Xenopus tropicalis: one gene and its partners. The protein of the gene in region 2 interacts with the protein of the main gene of each other region in a biochemical or structural test. Links are inferred from orthologs where the notes say so. Each region holds a gene or a part of one and is shown on either strand. Other genes may lie near its edges.

What was found.
Region 1: of the proteins of wwp1 (region 2) and klf5, one has a biochemical effect on the other in vitro, tested with the Homo sapiens proteins (4 studies listed by BioGRID, with this or other methods). The link is inferred for Xenopus tropicalis from reciprocal best matches to the Homo sapiens genes WWP1 and KLF5.
Region 3: the proteins of wwp1 (region 2) and dvl2 form a complex in vitro, tested with the Homo sapiens proteins (2 studies listed by BioGRID, with this or other methods). The link is inferred for Xenopus tropicalis from reciprocal best matches to the Homo sapiens genes WWP1 and DVL2.
Region 4: of the proteins of wwp1 (region 2) and wbp2, one has a biochemical effect on the other in vitro, tested with the Homo sapiens proteins (2 studies listed by BioGRID, with this or other methods). The link is inferred for Xenopus tropicalis from reciprocal best matches to the Homo sapiens genes WWP1 and WBP2.

What each region holds. Positions count from the first base shown.
Region 1 is NC_030678.2:127,154,040-127,159,036, forward strand, and holds part of klf5 (Krueppel-like factor 5), read right to left. Parts: intron 4,669-4,997; coding exon 3,774-4,668; intron 1,150-3,773; coding exon 1,090-1,149; intron 1-1,089. UniProt on the Homo sapiens protein: Transcription factor that binds to GC box promoter elements. Activates the transcription of these genes.
Region 2 is NC_030682.2:125,525,797-125,530,793, forward strand, and holds the end of wwp1 (NEDD4-like E3 ubiquitin-protein ligase WWP1), read left to right. Parts: intron 1-1,163; coding exon 1,164-1,268; intron 1,269-1,906; coding exon 1,907-2,003; intron 2,004-2,076; coding exon 2,077-2,149; intron 2,150-3,995; coding exon 3,996-4,095; 3' UTR 4,096-4,471; downstream 4,472-4,997. UniProt on the Homo sapiens protein: E3 ubiquitin-protein ligase which accepts ubiquitin from an E2 ubiquitin-conjugating enzyme in the form of a thioester and then directly transfers the ubiquitin to targeted substrates.
Region 3 is NC_030679.2:153,290,006-153,294,734, forward strand, and holds part of dvl2 (segment polarity protein dishevelled homolog DVL-2), read right to left. Parts: coding exon 4,638-4,729; intron 4,560-4,637; coding exon 4,469-4,559; intron 4,382-4,468; coding exon 4,312-4,381; intron 4,027-4,311; coding exon 3,887-4,026; intron 3,805-3,886; coding exon 3,728-3,804; intron 3,646-3,727; coding exon 3,578-3,645; intron 2,131-3,577; coding exon 1,996-2,130; intron 1,889-1,995; coding exon 1,739-1,888; intron 192-1,738; coding exon 15-191; intron 1-14.
Region 4 is NC_030686.2:44,869,047-44,874,745, forward strand, and holds the start of wbp2 (WW domain-binding protein 2), read right to left. Parts: upstream 3,363-5,699; 5' UTR 3,296-3,362; coding exon 3,237-3,295; intron 2,010-3,236; coding exon 1,901-2,009; intron 1,194-1,900; coding exon 1,058-1,193; intron 914-1,057; coding exon 821-913; intron 605-820; coding exon 473-604; intron 1-472. UniProt on the Homo sapiens protein: Acts as a transcriptional coactivator of estrogen and progesterone receptors (ESR1 and PGR) upon hormone activation. In presence of estrogen, binds to ESR1-responsive promoters. Synergizes with YAP1 to enhance PGR activity.

The DNA of each region.
Region 1 (4,997 bases), on a different chromosome or scaffold from region 2:
TTATATCACCAGACTATGTCATGTAGCTCTGGTCACCCAGCATTACTGGGTACAAGTTCGATGTGAGTCAGCTGAATCAGAGTAGAATGTGTAAGGACCAAAACATAGGCAGAACAGACTGCAGACTGAAAAGCCATATTCAGAAAAATAAATAAAGCTATAATGTAAAAGCTGCTTAGAAACTATGGCTGGATTAAAGCCCTACCATCAATACAGAGTATCTACATCCTGTTTAAAAGAATGTGTGGCCAATTAAGTGAAATGGTCAAGTTACATCATAATAAAATGATCAGAATGTTGACCAGGAATTTTTGACTATTAACAGTATCTCACACTGAGTTTTTATTTAAACGAAAGGAACACTAGTTGCTTTACCATAGTGGTTCTGCCAAGCCTGATTCCCCCCCATATGTTGCAAACTATATCTCTATGAAAGTTGGAAGTAAGCTGACTTGCAGTGTGACCTTATTATGCCATTGCGGATGCTCTGAGTAGGCTCAATATGATATGCAGCCTGCGTAGTATCTTTGTAGTATCCTGGCCCATGCCCATAACATTGGACACCAATCTAACACAACAAATACCTATAGAATTATAAACATATACTGCCAGTTTACAAGAAACATCATTACTAAGCCTATTGCCATAAGTTATTCAATTCTGTTGAAAAACCTATTTCTGTTATAGTTACCAGTCTACTTTGAAAACTTCACACAGGTAAATTAAATAAACATATTAAAATAAGGTGGCAAAGTAAAAAAATTGTTGCATTGCACTGTTAGGCTAAAGTGAAAGGGCTCTTTGTAGCTTGCCCAAATGTTAAGGAATTTTATAGTACTTGTACTGCTGGTGAAAGGTCTTAAGTATGACTGAAAAATAATGCAAGATAAATTGTCTTAAATGCTGCCTGCCTATGTGTAATGAAAAAGAGCCAGGTGATTTAATTTAACTGTCATGGGGAACAAAGCAACTGACAAAATTAGCCATGAATGAGAGGTTTTAGATTGAAAAACATACCAACTTCAAAAAGAGGAGACTTCTATTGATAATATTTACACAGCCATTAAATTGAACAAAAAATGCACATACCAGTATGTGTTCTCAGGTGGGCTTTTAAATGGGATGACTTTGTATACACCTTTGTGCACCCTGCAATAGAAGAGTAAAAAAGCATGGTGGTTATCATTGTGAATGAACATTTCACGAAGCAACAGCCCAGAGAACATCGCTAACACTCTGTCTACCATTAAGGCATTTAATGTATTCTTTTGCAGGATACTCGCAGCTATGATGCCAAAAGCAGCCCCCGCATTTTTAAGGCAATGCCCCCCCCCCCCAATTCACTTCTATAACAATTGCCAGGTATAGTGCAATCACTTTCCAAACAAAAATAGCCTGACTGCGCAGTGCAATTTCCAAAGAAGTGTAGGGGCAATTTTTCAGTTTCTTGTCCCCATTTTGCTAGCTACTATATACCTCTGGGAACAAAATGATTAAAATCTCGCCATGTGCCATAGCCCTTAACAAGAGTAAAATACTACATATGAAGAATCTGAATTCCTTGTGGGTTTTCTGTGTAAAGAAAAAAAGAATTCCTCAAAGTTGCAACAGGTGTAGTTTTTCAAATGCCAGAGCAAGTATATTTATTCCTATTGAGCGGACTTATTTATCAAAGTTATTCAGAGCTTTAGATATCCATCTGCATTCTTGCATTCTAAAAATACCTAGGGAGATTCCAGAATTATAAGTACAGCGCAGTTTATTATTACTTTGGCATTTGCTGTTGCTAACATGAAAGTGACACATTTGCTTCTGTGCATTGCTTGGACTCTCTGCTACTTTTATCATTTTCTTTCTGTTCCTAATGATTAACTTTCACATTAAAAGGCTGTCCTAACTCATGCACAATTAGTGCTGGCATCCTCAAGTCTCACTGAAAACACCTTTCATTTCCTTTACATTTTTACATCCCTTATGTATAAGGGTTGGAATCTAAATCATGATGACTGCATAAGGGTGCAAATAAAGCACTACTGACCGAGTCAGTTCCTAATTTGCTTCACTATGCTAAATTCAGCACTATGCTGGTGACCCTCAATGGATAGGGAGCAGGGATGATCTGTGTTGTTTTCGACCTGTTCAACCTCAGACTGACCACTGACATAATGGCGAAGCATTTAAAATATGTAGAATTCACTAGAAAATGTGTATATATCTCAGGAAGTATGCACCAAAAGTCAGTGTGAGCCTACAGAAGGCCCAGAGATAACATTTATCCAAGTGTGCATAAACTTCATATAGAAAGTTCTCCACACAGAAAGGTCTCCTATGTTATACAATGCTTCAAAATATGAAACTCATTTGTTAAAATTATTTCTTAGTTAATATATAGTCATTTCTTTTCATATATGCTATATAACTTAATCCAGTTTGAAACATGTCGTACAAATAACCCCGGTTTATTTTTCATATACAGAACAACCATATTTGTCCTGGAACTATTACTTATTGAAGTAGTATCTCCTTTAATCTCTTTGCCCAGTGTTGCACTGTAAAGGACTGGGGTTTTAGATAAAGAATGCGAAAAGCAAAAGCACATTGTAGATTTAAAGACACAAGTTAAACATTAACGTTAAAATAGCAGGATGCTTATAAAAATCTTGTTATTCCTATTAAATCATCTAACTGCTCTAAATTCAACAAGGTTAGAGGTAACCTGACTTGGTGATGACGTTCTTTACACAAAATGGAGCCCTATAAACCTGACAGATTTTACTTTAAATAAGTGCTGTCAAAGTACAGTTTCGCCACAGTGACATATATAACCCAGATTCTTGCATGCGCATGTCCATATACAGGTGGAACATGCACAACTATACACACAGGTCAGATGGGTTTATTATTGTACAGGTTCCATCTCTGCAGTTTTTATGCAAAATTCTCACTATTCTCCATGTCGGACAAATCCATTTCATTATAATCACTAGGGGTACCAGTACTGTTAATGCTCAGTCTCTGCTAAAACATACAGTACTGCAGCACCTGCTCATATTTTTAAATACAAATATTCAGAGAAGGAATGTATTGTGTAAAGAATATATCATGGTCTCATTCATATCCAACTATCTAATGAACAAGAAATATGCACCCTATAAGTAAAGGAGAACTAAAACCTAGAAATGAATACTGCTAGACATGTTTATTTACCAAACTTGCTTTATTAGCCCAAAAGTTTAGCAGCTGTAGGACAGGTCTTAAAAAGTTGTCCATGGGAGCTCCCCATCTTAATCATTTGTGTATCTGTGGCACTGCATGTACTCAATGGGGCTGGTATTGGCAAGCTAAGCAAGTAAAAAACACTACCAGAAAGTTAAAGTTGTATATGTCAAAGTTGGTGATGCTACACAGCTGATTAAATTCAGAATACCTTGGTTTCTCTGCTGTTGAGTAATGTGAATTAATTACCAATAATCCTTGAATGGTGGATTTTATATTATTGTAGTGTATAGTGTATATATTATTTATTGTGCACATGTCCCTAAGCTGAGGTAGCTGAAAGTAGCCCAGAGCATGTGCGCATATTCAAAGGCACAGACCTTCATTGCTAAAGGGCTATGGCTAGTGGCCCTGGGCTAGTACAGAAGCCCAAAACATAAGGCATTGCATGTCTAGACACATTCTTTGTTAAGCTTTAGCTCTCCTTTAAGCTTTTGATTAAGTCAGTAGACCGTTACCTTGTATAAACCCCTGAACAATTACATGTAGGTTCTTACCAGGGTAGTCACAATAATGTATGCGCCTTTTCTCCAGATCTGGGTTGTTTCTACGGTTGTAGCGTACAGATTGTATAGCAGGGGCTGTTATTTGCACCTGTGCAGGTAAGGGTGGATTGTGAATGGCCATCTTGGATGCTATCGTGGCTGCATAAGATGGTGGAGGGTTTAAACTCTGGAGAAGCTCTGCTTGCCTATCTGGGCTGCCTGGTTCAGAGCTAGGAGGAGAAGGTGGAAAGTAGGTTCCTTCTTGCTGGTGCAGAAATTGGCTAGGCATGCCATATGAGCACTGAGGGATGCTCTGGAATTGTTTCATTGCAGTCTGTTGTACTGGAGAAGAAAGTGTATTAAAGGCAGACATGTCTGTGGCCATGGAAGCACTATTAATAGTGTCCATAACTGAGGGTTGGTTTGTGGAGTTAGACATATCAATGTCTGGCGAACTTAAAAGCTGGTATAACTGGCCCTGCTGAGGATTGACAGAGAGCGGAAGCTCTGGTGAAGGGAGCTCTTGTTTGATGTAGATGTTATTAACATCTGCGTTTTGGTGGGAACTGAAGATGCTGGTGAATTCAGGAAGACTCTGTGTGGGTTCAGCATCACTTGAGTGGCTAAATACTGAAGTGGGCTCTGTCTTGATATGGGTCACGGGTGGCCTCTGGCTCTTATACAGGCTTGTTCTTAAGTGAGTGATATCAGGAAGGAAGACATTCATGTTTATACTGTAAGGAAGTCCATCACTCTCATTAAAAAACTGATCAACACCTGATGCACTGTCTCGCCTGTACTTTTTTAAATCTTGCATGATGTTAACTTGAGGAGGTGGGGGAGGAGGTTGATGATGATGATGATGATGATGATGAGGTGAAAGATATTTATCCATTTCGCATCTAGTCTGAAAAATAAAAGAAAAAAAGGTTACATATTAAACCCTTCCTATATACCATTTTGTACTGCCTGTGGATGCTAACCTTCTGTTAGAGGCAAAACAAAAGATATATATATAACCAAAACAATGTTACAGAAATAACAGAACGCTAAAAATTATGTTTCCCTTCAAAATTCATTGCGCCAAGCAGATTCCCAGCACTAGAGCTGAGGCCAGCTTGATCCCTTTCTCCCACATACTGATACACACAGAACATTCCAAAGCAGCTAGAAAATGTTAGATAATATTCTCCATGGTGTCTCAACATAATATAGAAAAGCCAAGTCTCTGGACTT
Region 2 (4,997 bases):
TAGCATACTTTCCAGTGTTTCCGATAGGAACTCTGGACTTATTTTTTTTAATCTTCCTTAACACAACTCATAATTCATTACTATCCAGGGAATACCGGGGTATAGGTTAGGGCCCATGCATGCTTTGTTTCAATTTGTTTTCTTTTTAAATGTGTTGTTGCTGAGAGTGATTGGATGCTGTATGGACTGTTATAATTATATGGTATGTTTATACTAACCCACAAAAGTAGCATGATTATACTAACACCCACATAAGCGGTTGACTTCACAAGTAGCCTGTGTGTGGCCAGCTTTGCTCACAACAGCAACAATGCAGCTCTGTACAATAAGGAGAAATGTCTCATGTTCTCTTCACAGCAATAGCCCATCTTGTAGCAAGACAAGACTGCTTCATACATCCACCGGGACAGTAACCTATTACAGCCACTGATACCTGCTTTTATTTTAACCCCACTAGACTTAAAGTAACAGTAACACCAAAAAATGAAAATGTATAAAAATAATTAATATATTATATACTATTGCTCTGCACTGCTAAAAGTTGTGGGTTTTCTTCAAAAACACTACTGCAGTTTATATACATACCCTGCTCTGTAGCCATGGGGGCAGCCATTTAAATCGAAAAAAGGAGAAAAGGCACAGGTTACTAAGCAGATAACAGATAAGTAGCAGATTCCCATTGTATTCTACACAGTTTATCTGTTATCTTCTTATGTAAACTGTACCTTTTCTCCTTTTTTCAATTTAAATGGCTGCCCCCATGGCTACACAGCAGCTATTTCTATTAACTATAGTAGTCTTTCTGAAGCAAACACACAACTTTTACCAGTGCAGGGCAACAGTACATTATATTTTAATTATTTTAAAACATTTTTATTTTTTAGTGTTACTGTTCCTTTAAGTTATGGTTTACTGCATTGGTATTTCTACTCATTAAGTCATTCTTTTGTTGGGTTTCATTACAAGGGTATAATTCATGAAGTGAAAGCTATGAAGGACACCCCAATGTAATTGGTTTGTTGAGGCTTTCATGATAATGAATAATATCTTTATTTTCAGAAAAGCCATTTCTATGGCTATTTGGACAGGTTTAATTTAACTGTGCTTGTACATGCTGGGAAAATAGCTTCCATGTTAGTGACTTGGTGCCTTGTACTTTGCAGGTTATGCTGTGTGGCATGCAGGAGGTGGATTTATCAGACTGGCAGCGGAATACAGTCTATCGGCATTACACAAGGAATAGCAAGCAGATCATATGGTTCTGGCAGGTGATTATGTTGTGGCTGACGATGTGTGCGGGGCATCATCTTAACTAGGCATTGATTTTTTTTTTTTTTTCTTAAATATAATTCATTTGGATGATGTGTCTAATGTTACTAGATGTCCACAGCATTAAATGTGTGTGAAAGGTTAGCCTTACTTTGGGCCAAGCAGTAGTAGATAGCAGACCCTGCAGCTGCTGGAGGCCCCAGAAAGATAAAGAGCGATCTTTCTTATACACGTATTAAAATGCAGTAAGATTACCCAGTGGGTGTAAGAAAGTTCACCTTTCCCAAGATTTGGTGGTGGCGGGTGAGGGGAAAAAAAAGCTTTGGTTGTGTGACCCAGAGACTTTGTTTCTTTTTTGGAGCTGTGGAAGGTAGTGTGTTTGATACACATTAATCTCATACACTGTGGTACCCTAAACCAGGGATTTTCAGCTGGAAGCCCACAAACTAGATGTGGCCCTCTAAGAGATGTTTATGGTCCCCCACGGGACTTCAGTGACTTAAATACAATCCTTCCCAGGACATGAGGCATGGTGGGTAATCATATCTACATGGGAAAATGTTAGACAGCCCTACTTTATGCAGTACCAAGTCTTACTGCTGAATTAAGCTGTGCATCCTTGTTACTTTTATTTCAGTTTGTGAAGGAAATGGACAATGAGGTGCGGTTGCGGCTGCTGCAGTTTGTCACTGGTACCTGCAGGCTGCCGCTGGGAGGATTCGCAGAGCTCATGGGTAAGTGTTGGTGTATAATTTCTTCTAATTTCCTAGGCCCTCAACAATGGCTAATGCTGCTGTCTTATTGCAGGAAGCAACGGTCCACAGAAATTCTGCATTGAGAAGGTTGGAAAAGAAACATGGCTCCCTCGAAGTCATACATGGTAAGATGAATGATGTATGAGCAGTACTGACTTCCCGCTGTGTCAGTGTGCGGGAGGGGTGAGGCAGATTCCCTAAGAAGGGAGTTGGGACTGGACCCACCAAGCACATAGACAGACTATTGTATTCAGGCTATGGGCAAGCCTGTAATGCTCCAGGGGTGGTTGTAGAACCACACATAACAGCGTTCCCCTGTCACTGCAGTTAACGGTGGATTTCTAGTAAGTGTAATATAGTTGGGTGTTGATAAGATCTAAACTTCTGGAAAATAATAATTGTTTTCTCTGTAAAAGAACAACATTTTTAAGGGGAAGTTCCTTCAGAATAACTTTTAGTATGAAGTAGATCAGGGGTGGCCAGACTCTTTTTTTCCATCGTGATCGACTGACGACCGGGAAATGTGGAAGTGCGGCCTATCCTGGATGGTAGGGGAAGCCAGTGCAGGGATAGGCAGAGTGGCATGGCAGAGGAGGAGCGGTTGGAGAGGTGTATGAGCCTGGCAGCAGTATTCATTATGGACTGGAGAGGGGACAGTCTTTGGAGGGGAAGGCCAATTAATAGGGAGTTACAGTAGTCCAGGCAAGATATTATAAGAGAGTGAATAAGAATTTTGGCAGCATCTTGGGTGATAAATGATCGGATTTTGGAGATATTTCTTAGGTGAAAGTGACATGATTTGATAAGTGTGAATATGAGGGGTGAAGGACAGGGCGGAATCAAGGATAACCCCAAGGCACCGGGCCTGGGAAGATGGGGTGATGGTAGAATTGTTAACAGTTATAGATACCTCGGGAACAATGTGGGTGTTGGATGGGGGAAAGAGAACCAGTTTTAGAGAGGTTTAATTTGAGGTAACGTTGGGACATCCAAGTGGAGATAGAGGACAGGCAGGAAAGACGCGAGTTAGAAGCTCTGGGTTGAGATCAGGAGAGGAAAGATAAATCTGAGTATCGTCAGCATAGAGGTGGTACTGAAAGCCAAAAGAACTGATTAGTTTGCCAAGTGAGGAGGTATAGAGAGAAAATAGTAAGGGGCCCAGGACAGAGCCTTGAGGAACCCCGACAGAAAGAGGCAGGGGAGAAGATGATTCCCCATTGTAAGAGACACTGAAGGATCGATCTGAGAGATAAGATGAAAACCAGGATAAGGCAGTGTCACGAAGGCCAAGAGAGCGGAGAGTCTGTAGGAGAAGAGGGTGATCCACAGTGTCAAAAGCAGCAGAGAGATCGAGAAGTATTAGTAGCGAGTAGTGTTTTTTGGCTTTAGCCGAAAGGAGGTCATTTGTTAGTCGGACGCAGTGTACGTACGCATTCACGCAGCACTTCCGCATCCCCAGCTTCATCACGGTCCAGCAGAAATCCATGGGGGATTGACTGGTGGACCGCAATCGACATATTGGCCACCCTTGATGTAGATGATATTCTGAAACAAGTTGCAATTAGTCTTCATTTTCTTATAGTATTTGAATTATTTAGTTTATTGTTCTGCCCCTCTCCAGTTTTGAATTTCATCAGCTATCTGGTTGCTAGGATCAGTTTACCCTAGCAATGAGGTAGTGGTTTGAATAAGAGACTGGAAGATTAATATGAAATGGCTTAAATAGAATGATAAGTAAAAAGTAACAGTAAGATTGTATGTAGCCTCACAAAGCAACTGGTGTCAGCGACCCCATTGTTATTGTTACTTTTTATTACTTACTACTTTTTATTCAGGCCCTCTCCCATTCATATGTCAATCTCTCAATCAAACTACTTCCTGGTTGGTAAGTTAATTTGCAACCAGTTGGGTTGAGCTAACTCAATGGTGAACCACCCCTTTAAGCCTTGCCAACGGCCCTTTCTTTTGCAGTTTCAATCGACTGGACCTGCCGCCATATAAAAGCTATGAACAACTGAAGGAGAAGCTGCTTTTTGCAATTGAAGAAACGGAAGGATTTGGCCAAGAATGACAGGCAGCTAATTATTTTTTATGGACATGCATTGTATGCCCAGCCAAGTAAAATTGCACACAATTATTGTATATTGTATATATATATATATATATATGCTGTTTAGTCTGTACAGTGATCTTTCTCAAACTAATGTGTAGGTCAGGGTTAGGCAACCACTGGCATGCCAGCTGTTTCAGAACGACAACTCCCACACTGCCCCACCAGCTTTACTGATGGTGAGTTCTGGGAGATGTCATTGTGCATCAGGTGGACTGGCAAAGGGTGCCTATCCCAAAGGTAGATATTTGTTCTTCCACCTAGATATGCAAAACACTTTAGCCTTTTTCTATTTTTATTTATTTCCCCTTCAGATGACTGATTAGTTACAAAAAAACAAAAAAAACAAATAACTTTAATTTTAAACGCTGACTGAAGACTTTATTTTAAAATTTATATATATAAATATATCTAATGTGTATATACTTGGGAACTCTAGTTTTATAGAGTTGTAAGTATGCAGAACATCAGCCATTTGAGGAGGCTCGGGATCGCTTTATAACAATTTGCAAACAGTCATGTTCTTCTACAGAACATCCTTATCACAGATGTCTATTGCATGGCTGCCAACAGAGGTGTTGAGAGCTATTGCCAAAAAAAAATTAAAAAAAACCTTTGTTAATCATGCGAGAACTATTGCTGCTGGCTTTTCAGAATGGCAGAATGTGCACAGTTCTGCTCCTTTCATTTACTCAGTGTGATAGGCTGATTCTATTGAATGGTGCATATGTAGCTGAAGCTATGAGCGTGGCACCTACTTGCAGCTGCTGCTTCCTGGCCCTGTACAAAAGCAGCACATTGCTCCTCCGTGTGTTGCCATTATTGCTCAGTATAGACAGGGTTTCTGAGAGAGCAGGCTCGGT
Region 3 (4,729 bases), on a different chromosome or scaffold from region 2:
CCCCCCGCACTTACAGTTCTCACAGCCGGTGAGATCCCCGAAGATATAGTAACACTGCTCCGAGAAGGTGATCTTGTTCACCGTGTGGCGAATGAGCCCGGCCTTCAGCAGGTTACTGGCAAACTTGCGCGCCTCCCGCCGGTCCTGGAAGCCCTCCACGTGGTGGTACAGCCAGTCTACCATGTCTGAGCCTGGGGGGGGCAAGGGGACAGTCACGTACACTGGGGGGGCAAGGGGGCAGTCACTGGGGGGCAAGGGGGCAGTCACGTACACTGGGGGGGCAAGGGGGCAGTCACGTACACTGGGGGGGGCAAGGGGGCAGTCACGTACACTGGGGGGGGGCAAGGGGGCAGTCACGTACACTGGGGGGGGCAAGGGGGCAGTCACGTACACTGGGGGGGGCAAGGGGGCAGTCACGTACACTGGGGGGGGCAGTCACGTACACTGGGGGGGCAGTCACGTACACTGGGGGGGGGCAAGGGGGCAGTCACGTACACTGGGGGGGGCAAGGGGGCAGTCACGTACACTGGGGGGGGCAGTCACGTACACTGGGGGGGCAGTCACGTACACTGGGGGGGGCAAGGGGGCAGTCACGTACACTGGGGGGGGCAAGGGGGCAGTCACGTACACTGGGGGGGGCAAGGGGCAGTCACGTACACTGGGGGGGGCAAGGGGGCAGTCACGTACACTGGGGGGGGCAAGGGGGCAGTCACGTACACTGGGGCGGGCAAGGGGACAGTCACGTACACTGGGGGGGCAAGGGGACAGTCACGTACACTGGGGGGGCAAGGGGACAGTCACTGGGGGGGCAAGGGGACAGTCACGTACACTGGGGGGGCAAGGGGACAGTCACTGGGGGGGCAAGGGGACAGTCACTGGTGGGGCAAGGGGACAGTCACTGGTGGGGCAAGGGGACAGTCACTGGGGGGCAAGGGGACAGTCACGTACACTGGGGGGGGGGCAAGGGGGCAGTCACGTACACTGGGGGGGGCAAGGGGGCAGTCACGTACACTGGGGGGGGGCAAGGGGGCAGTCACGTACACTGGGGGGGGGCAAGGGGGCAGTCACGTACACTGGGGGGGCAAGGGGGCAGTCACGTACACTGGGGGGGCAAGGGGGCAGTCACGTACACTGGGGGGGCAAGGGGGCAGTCACGTACACTGGGGGGGCAAGGGGGCAGTCACGTACACTGGGGGGGCAAGGGGGCAGTCACGTACACTGGGGGGGCAAGGGGGCAGTCACGTACACTGGGGCGGGCAAGGGGGCAGTCACGTACACTGGGGGGGGGGGCAAGGGGGCAGTCACGTACACTGGGGGGGGGGGGGCAAGGGGACAGTCACGTACACTGGGGGGGGGGGCAAGGGGACAGTCACGTACACTGGGGGGGCAAGGGGACAGTCACGTACACGGGGGGGGGCAAGGGGACAGTCACGTACACTGGGGGGGCAAGTACCGTTAGTTACCCCATGGAACTGCCCCACAGAGGCATCCCTGCCATTAGTACCCCATGGAACTGCCCCACAGAGACATCCCTGCCATTAGTACCCTATGGAACTGCCCCACAGAGACATCCCTGCCATTAGTACCCCATGGAACTGCCCCACAGAGACATCCCTGCCATTAGTACCCCATGGAACTGCCCCACAGAGACATCCCTGCCATTAGTACCCCATGGAACTGCCCCAGACCAGACTGACCCCATGAGGGGGCAGAGGGAGGGGCAAGAGGAGGGTCTCACCCAGGAAAGCGTTGGGAATGGTGATTTTGAGCCACATACGATCTCGGACCTCGAGGCCGGACTCCGGGGAGGCCATGACCTTCGCGACGGAAGCCAAGTCCGTGTGTACAGAGAGGCTGAAGAGCGACACCGGCGGGAGTGCGTGGGAAACTGCAGGCACAGAAATGGTTAAACGTACCTGTCACATGACTGCCCGCGTCTGTTAACCCATTCCTTCCCAGGTGGGGTACAGGGCCCCCCAGTAGTGAGACACTTACGCTCGGTCTCAGTCACAGAGGTGCTGGAGGTCATGCTGCTCATGGAGGCGCTGCCGGGGTACACTGGGAACGATCCGCTAAGTGCAGCCGAGTGGGACACCCAGGCAGCAGGGTCAATCGGTTGGATGGGCTCGTCTGGGGGGAGGAGTCAGCACAGAGTCACATGATACAGTGAGGGAATGGGAGGGGCAGGGGAGGAGTCAGCACAGAGTCACATGATACAGTGAGGGAATGGGAGGGGCAGGGGAGGAGACAGCACAGAGTCACATGATACAGTGAGGGAATGGGAGGGGCAGGGGAGGAGACAGCACAGAGTCACATGATACAGTGAGGGAATGGGAGGGGCAGGGGAGGAGTCAGCACAGAGTCACATGATACAGTGAGGGAATGGGAGGGGCAGGGGAGGAGACAGCACAGAGTCACATGATACATGAGGGTTGGGGGGCAGGGGAGGAGACAGCACAGAGTCACATGATACAGTGAGGGAATGGGAGGGGCAGGGGAGGAGACAGCACAGAGTCACACGATACAGTGAGGGAATGGGAGGGGCAGGGGAGGAGACGGCACAGAGTCACATGATACAGTGAGGGTTGGGGGGCAGGGGAGGAGACAGCACAGAGTCACATGATACAGTGAGGGTTGGGGGGCAGGGGAGGAGACGGCACAGAGTCACATGATACAGTGAGGGTTGGGGGGCAGGGGAGGAGACGGCACAGAGTCACATGATACAGTGAGGGTTGGGGGGCAGGGGAGGAGACAGCACAGAGTCACATGATACAGTGAGGGTTGGGGGGCAGGGGAGGAGACGGCACAGAGTCACATGATACAGTGAGGGTTGGGGGGCAGGGGAGGAGACAGCACAGAGTCACATGATACAGTGAGGGAATGGGAGGGGCAGGGGAGGAGACAGCACAGAGTAACATGATACAGTGAGGGTTGGGGGGCAGGGGAGGAGACAGCACAGAGTCACATGATACAGTGAGGGTTGGGGGGCAGGGGAGGAGACAGCACAGAGTCACATGATACAGTGAGGGTTGGGGGGCAGGGGAGGAGACGGCACAGAGTCACATGATACAGTGAGGGAATGGGAGGGGCAGGGGAGGAGACGGCACAGAGTCACATGATACAGTGAGGGTTGGGGGGCAGGGGAGGAGACAGCACAGAGTCACATGATACAGTGAGGGTTGGGGGGCAGGGGAGGAGACGGCACAGAGTCACATGATACAGTGAGGGTTGGGGGGCAGGGGAGGAGACGGCACAGAGTCACATGATACAGTGAGGGAATGGGAGGGGCAGGGGAGGAGACAGCACAGAGTCACATGATACAGTGAGGGTTGGGGGACAGGGGAGGAGACAGCACAGAGTCACATGATACAGTGAGGGTTGGGGGACAGGGGAGGAGACAGCACAGAGTCACATGAAACAGTGAGGGAATGGGAGGGGCAGGGGAGGAGACGACTGGGTCACATGATTCGGTAGGGGGAGGAGAGTAGAAGACAATACAGTGAGGGAGGACATGGAAGAGGTGCAGAAAGAGTTTGGGGGTACAAGAGGAGGGGGGTGTAGAAGTGGGGGGACTTACTGCGGGGGAGAGTGAAGTAGCCCTGTGGGGAAGGGTCCCAGCATTTGGCCACGGTCAGGATAATAGGCCTGTAAGAGAGGCAGGGTAAAATTAAAGGCATAAACACTTACCCCCCAGGCTATTAGTTGCCCCTAGGACCCACCCCCTTACCCCGGCTTATGGACAATATCCCTAAGGACACGAACAGCATCGTCGTTGCTCATATTCTCAAAATTGATGTCATTGACCTGCAGAGAGAGAGAGAGAGAGTGCATGGGGGTAAGTGCCCGGGGGTATCTACCTATCCAGCAAGGGAGGGGCAACACTTACCTGCAGCAACATGTCCCCGGGTTCAATCCTCCCGTCGGCTGCCACGGCTCCGCCCTTCATTATGGAGCCAATATAAATGCCCCCGTCACCGCGCTCGTTGCTCTGCCCCACGATAGAGATGCCCAGGAAATTGTACTTCTCTGGGGAGGGAGAGGAAAGGGTTAAGAACTGCCCATAAAGGGGCGGGGTCACATGGCTGGGAGTCCCCCGGACACCCCTGGTGCAACTGCGCCAAGCCTGGGCCCAAGCACTGCCCACTGACCAGTAGGGGGAGCTGTTCCTCCTCTCATCAGGGCTGTAGTGATTGGTGGGGGGAAGCTGTGAGTCAGGGTTAAAGGTCAATCTCCTGTCTCAGTAACTGCCCCCCTGGGGTACAGAGAAGGCGAGCTAAGCCAATGGGAGCAGAGTGGGCGGGGCCGACTCACCCATATTCAGCGTGACGGTGATGATGTTGAGGGACATGGTGGAGTCGGTGACGCTGCTGAAGGAGGAGGTCTGTAAGAGAGAGAAGGCGGGGCTGAGGGTGGGGCCTGGCTGGAGCACCAATCAGGGCACTCTATAGCTATCCCTGCTGTAACTCACCCTCTCCAGGCGGGGGGGTCTCTGCTTGCGGCGGCGCCGGTGGCGCTTCAGGAGGCGGGATGCGCTGCTCTGCTCCGTGGAACTGCTGAACCTGAGGGAACAGCCATATTGGCATCAGGCCCCATGCAAGCCCCTCCCACTCCCTGGCATCTGGGCGGGGCCACAGTACCTGCTCATAGCGTCGTCCTCCTCCGAGTCACAGATACTCGTCTCAATCTCACTGGTCAGAAGCGTCGAGGAGGATTCGTACCCCGAGAGGTG
Region 4 (5,699 bases), on a different chromosome or scaffold from region 2:
AATCATTTAACCATTAAATAAACCCAATAGGGCTGTTCTGCCCCAATAAGGGGTAATTATATCTTAGTTGGGATCAAGTACAGGTACTGTTTTATTATTACAGAGAAAAGGGGAATCATTTAACCATTAAATAAACCCAATAGGGCTGTTCTGCCCCCAATAAGGGGTAATTATATCTTAGTTGGGATCAAGTACAGGTACTGTTTTATTATTACAGAGAAAAGGGAATCATTTAACCATTAAATAAACTCAATAGGGCTGTTCTGCCCCAATAAGGGGTAATTATATCTTAGTTGGGATCAAGTACAGGTACTGTTTTATTATTACAGAGAAAAAGTAAATGATTTTGAAAAATTTGAATTATTTGCTTAAAATGGAGTCTATGTGAGATATTTAAGAACTTTCTGGATAATGGGTTTCCAGATGACAGATCTCACACCTGTATTTTATAATAGTGAGTAAAATGACTTACCGCTGGGTGGTGGCGGATAAGGATAACCAGCAGGTGGAGGTGGGTAGATGCCATTGGCTGCAGGAGGTGGGAAGACGTAGCCCCCATTGGGCATATATGGGTAGGCAACATTTGGAGCTCCTCCACTTGAGGCTACAAGGGCGAGTAGAAACCATATTTTATAAAAATGGGTAAAGGAAAAAGTGCATTGCAAAGGCTGAGGCAGAATTTCTGACCCATTGGGATTTCCCTTTAAATCTTTTCCCCGAGGTGTGGGGCTTGTGGCAAATGTGTATTTGCTCTCCTAGGTAGTCCTGGGAGTCCAGACTAAATGTCAAGAGATTGTGACTTCAGATACCCCCTGCTCACCTTGAGAGGCCACGTGTAGCATGTGCTGGCCGAACTCTATAGCGCCCCCTGAAGGAAAGCTTAGTTTAAATGTAGCAGATCCTTCCCAACCACCTGCAGGCAAAGAAATGAATTCCAGATTAAAAGATATATTTAACCTACAGCAAATTATATTAGCAAAAAATAAAGGCAGGTGTCCCAGGAGCTGAAGTGGGACCTAGAACGCATAGGTATCCGTCAGATAGTAACACTGCTCACCTCCAGGCTCAGCTCTCACGTTGCCCTTGATAAAATTGGCTCCAAATACGGGCTGCTTAATTTCACAGTCCTTCATCAGATAGAAGGGCATCATGAACGACTGCATGGGGTCCCTTCCTTTGGACACAAATATCACCTGTGGATGCAAAATTAGCCTCACCCACATGCATAATACACAAGAGCCGTAAAAGATATGCTTATAAATAGGTTAGAATCTGTGTCACATGACTCACTGAAATAATAATAACTGAAAGAATAATGTACCCCCTTGGAATAAAATGAGAGAATATTAGACACCTCAAAGCTTTAGGGCCTGTATTAAAGTGATTTTGTGCCGCCTTTATATGTTCATGGATCCCCTCTGTGACTTTTATTAAGGAGGTGTAGAAGGGCACTAGCCCTATATGTAATAAATGACACTAAAGTTTGGCATACACTGGCAAATCTAAGTTGCCGATTTGAGTCCTTCAGACCGTTTCGGGCGCTTATCTGCCCATGGGGCCCCCCAGCAGGCCTACCCAACCAATATCTGGATAAAAATGGGCAGGTGGCGAAACAATCGATTTAGCCAAATTTTGCCCACCTTAGGTGGAAATGATCCACTCGATTAAACCTTAAGTTTGCCTGATAGCAATAACCCACAGCAACCAATAAGTATATTCTACCTGCTGACTGGTTGCTATGGGTTACTGTTCCTGGGCAAATTTAGTTTTTTTAATTACATAACCCCCAAGTGTCTTCTCTGACCTAATGGAAAGTTTAGTTGCACATTAGCAGTTTATTCCATGGTGCCAATGAGTCAGACTGCACCTAATGAGTGAAGGAAAAGGGAGGCAGACTTACTCGATATGGTGTCAGAATGACTCTGCCTTTCTTGGTCCCTCTGAAAGCCTCTGGGGTGCTGTCCATGTCACTAAATGTGACCTCCACATGTTCATAAGAAGTAAGGATACTGGAAGATAATAAAGGGCAAGTTCAATGAGAACAGTGCAGTTTAGTAGTCAAAGACGAACTGCCAGCTGGACACCGGGAAAAAACCAAGCGGGCCCCTCGATCCCTGCTGGTGTTCCTGAACTGACGTCCCTCCACCAGACTGGGGGGTTTGGGATGATGGGGACCCCTTGGGGGTGTGGTGTGTGTGGGGGGTGGTTATTGTGCATCTTCATGATATTGGGCCAAACTGACTATCTGTTTGAGGAATAAGAGGAGTGCCCAAGGGTGTAAATGTAGAGGAAGAAGACCCTGCAACTGCCAAGGTATAAGAGATCAGTGTCAGACTGGGAACCCAGAGGCCCACCAGAAAACCTTAGACCCCAGGCCGCTTTTCCAAACTATTTTTCCTCCTTTCCTCACCCAACCTCTTTATTCTCCTAGTCTCTTTTATTTACATGCTAGCATCTATTCTTCCATCTATTTCTCTTCTTTGTTCCCATTCAGAAACAGGGAATGACCATGAAGCAGGCCAAATGCTGAGGAGCAGGAGGGCCCACTGACATCTGGGCCCACCGGGAGTTTTCCTGCTATCCTTGTGGGCCAGTCCGACACCGTAAGAGATCCAACAGAACACTGAATGATACGCGGTTTCAGTGGCATAACTGAGCCCTATAGCAAAATCATTTTAGCGCCCCAATAAACTTTAGGAATAAGACATTTTTTATAATAAAGCTATTAAAACTGCTTATCAGTCAGTGCCCTATGGGGCCTCCTATAATCTCCAGGGTCACTCTGCCTTCCCCGGGTCTGAGCGTTAAATATCTCCTACATATTGCAGCACTGTATACACCCCTCCACTGTATCATGTGATTATGTAAGTGCTTCATAAGAATATTATATTAAATTAATAATATAAATAATAATAAAGGGGGTTTAGTAAGTAAATCTCACAAGGGATACATGTGGGACATATTATATATAGATATGCTGATAGAATTAAGTATATTGTGCCTGGGAATAGGAAAACACACACAATATTATACAAATAGTACAGCAGACAGGCAAAGAGAGGGAGGCGGGTGTATCTGTATCAGCTCCATAATTGGCACAAATCCCTGCTCGTCATGTCCAAGCTCCGCCCCATATATGATGACAGATACCCGGAACCCATATTCATGCAGGGGGTCCGTCTAACGTTTCGCTGACTGCTTCCCGCGACTGTCTCTCTACTTAGCCGCTGTCCTACCTCTCGCTGTTGTTAATTACTGCACCTCCGCCATCCAGGTGGTTCCTGTTAAGGGCCATATTGCGGAGATAAAAAGGTCACACCTCCGCAGCCTAGCAACAGCCAATCACCGTGCTCGAAGAGTCTCTCGCACTTTGAGACGCAGTCTGGGCGGTTCCACTGCTGTAGGGCCGGCCGCTCATTGGCTGAGGGATCTATGACTGGCATGTGTTCTTGATCGCTAGGGGGCGTGTATCACTGAAAATAAACCATGGCCGCTTGAGGCGCTAATGTTGTAGTTGTGTTTCTGCGTTGCTAATACTTCATTGTAACGATCACTTAGCGCTGAGGCGCAGAGCTGCTCCGTGTATTACGGTTGTTACCAATGTAGCGCTGTGTTTGGGCGGCTATTCAGGGCAGTAAGTGTTAAATTCTACTTTATGGGGAATATCCAATCTTATTTTGTACAGTTATATCGGCCAATTAGTTAGTTAAACATACTACTTCACTACAAACCTCTCCTAACAGGATTTCATACAATCCCAATTGAGGTTATCACAGGGCTGATATTAAGCTATTTCATACTCCCCGCGTAGTTGCTTCGCCCCTTCTTACACTTAGGGGCACATTTACTAACCCACGAACGTCCAAAAAGTGTTTTTTTTTCGTAATGATCGGTATTTTGTGACTTTTTCGAGCGCTCAATACGAAAGTCGCGACAATTCGCGCAAGTCGTAACGGCTACGAAAAAGTCACAAAAAATATGAAAAAGTCGCAAAATGTTCGTTTTACAATCCAAATTTTTCCCATTCGGATTCGTGGATTAGTAAATCAGCCCCTTAGTATAGCGGCGGAAATACAAGAAGGTCTCTAACTGGTCGATGTATATATTAGTTGAGGTAAAGTTATCTTACAGGTAAGTATTACGTTGCGTTTCTCTAACATACGGTGGGTCCGGTATTGCCAGGGTAAAGCCGCCATACACGCACCGATAATATACGTAACCTCGTTTCATACGATATTCGGTGCGTGTATGGCAACTCGGCGAGGCGGCCGATATCACAGAAGGCTGTCGACTCACCAATCGGACCGGTTAAAAGATTTTGTTTGGGCACCGTAGAAGGCGCCTGAGCAAAATCTGCCTTCAGCGCTGAATCGGCAGAAGGAGGTAGAAATTAGAGCTGGGCGGTATGGCCAAAAATTTATATTGCAGTATTTTTCAAAATGATATCGGTGTCGCTGTATTTGACGGTATTTTTTTTTTTCCATGCATGATTAGGTGTTAACCCCATTTCCTAATAAATTAGAGAATAATTACTGTAGTATTGAAAATCAGAGTCAGGCAAGCGAAGGATCGGCAACAGAAAGTCGTAAGGTAAATCAGGCAGGCTTAGTTTCCCAGGCAAGGCCGCAGACAACATAGCACAGGAGGAGGCGTTTGATAGCTTTAAATACCCCCCACGCATGCGCAGAACCGGCGCCGTTAGCGCGTCGCGGACGTGCACGCTTTGACATGTACGTGCGCTTTGACGCACACACACCTGGACGCGCGTGCGCAATGTCCCGCGGACAACGGGACGCGCGCGCAAGGAGGCGTGCGAGAACGGGCCGCACGGGTGAGTACCCTGACACCCCGGTATTGCGGTATCTGAAAAATGAATATAGTTTTAAAAAAAACACCGGTATTCGGTATTAAACGGTATATCGCCCAGCTCTAGTAGAAATCCTATTGTTTCTACCTCCATATCTGACGTTTCAGCCCTGAACGTAAGTGGAGGGTGGGAACAATCTTTCGTGCGACTGATGGTTGCACGAAAGATCAAAAATTGCCACGTGTGTGGCCACCGTAAGTAACTAAGATGTATGAATACCTATTGGAGCCGGGAAATGGTTGAACAAAACCCACCCCGCGCCCCTTCCCAGGACTACACCAAGTACCCTTCGGCGTTTATAATTGAAACCCTCGTCACTCAGATAGAATTCACTACCACACGTGGAATTCTTCTGTACGTAAAGTCCCTACCAGGTTACCATGCCTACTACCATCGTTTGTACCTGATATGATTGACTTCTCCATGTAATAATCACTCACCAACTGCTTTGCAGTAGAAAAATGGGTACCCATTTTGGATTCGGGGGAATGTGTTCTTTTTGAAAATATATCATTTTCTTGGTCTTGAATTGAATATGCAGGTTTCTGGGTTAGTGTTTAGAAATGTAGTTCCGTACTGCTGGGAGTTTCTGACCCGTACAAATCTCCATAAAACTAAAAATATTTGGAATTTGAGTGCCCAGGAGACATGGGACTTTTCAAATCAGTTGTATTTTTGGGCATAAAATGAATGAAGTTTCGGATATATGTGTTTATATTATGGAAAATTTACATTTTTTCTTGTTACAGTCATTCTAGCATATTTTGGAAGCTTAGGTTGTCCAAAAAAAAAAAAATTATATATTGTTTACCTGGGTAAAAAAAATAGTTAC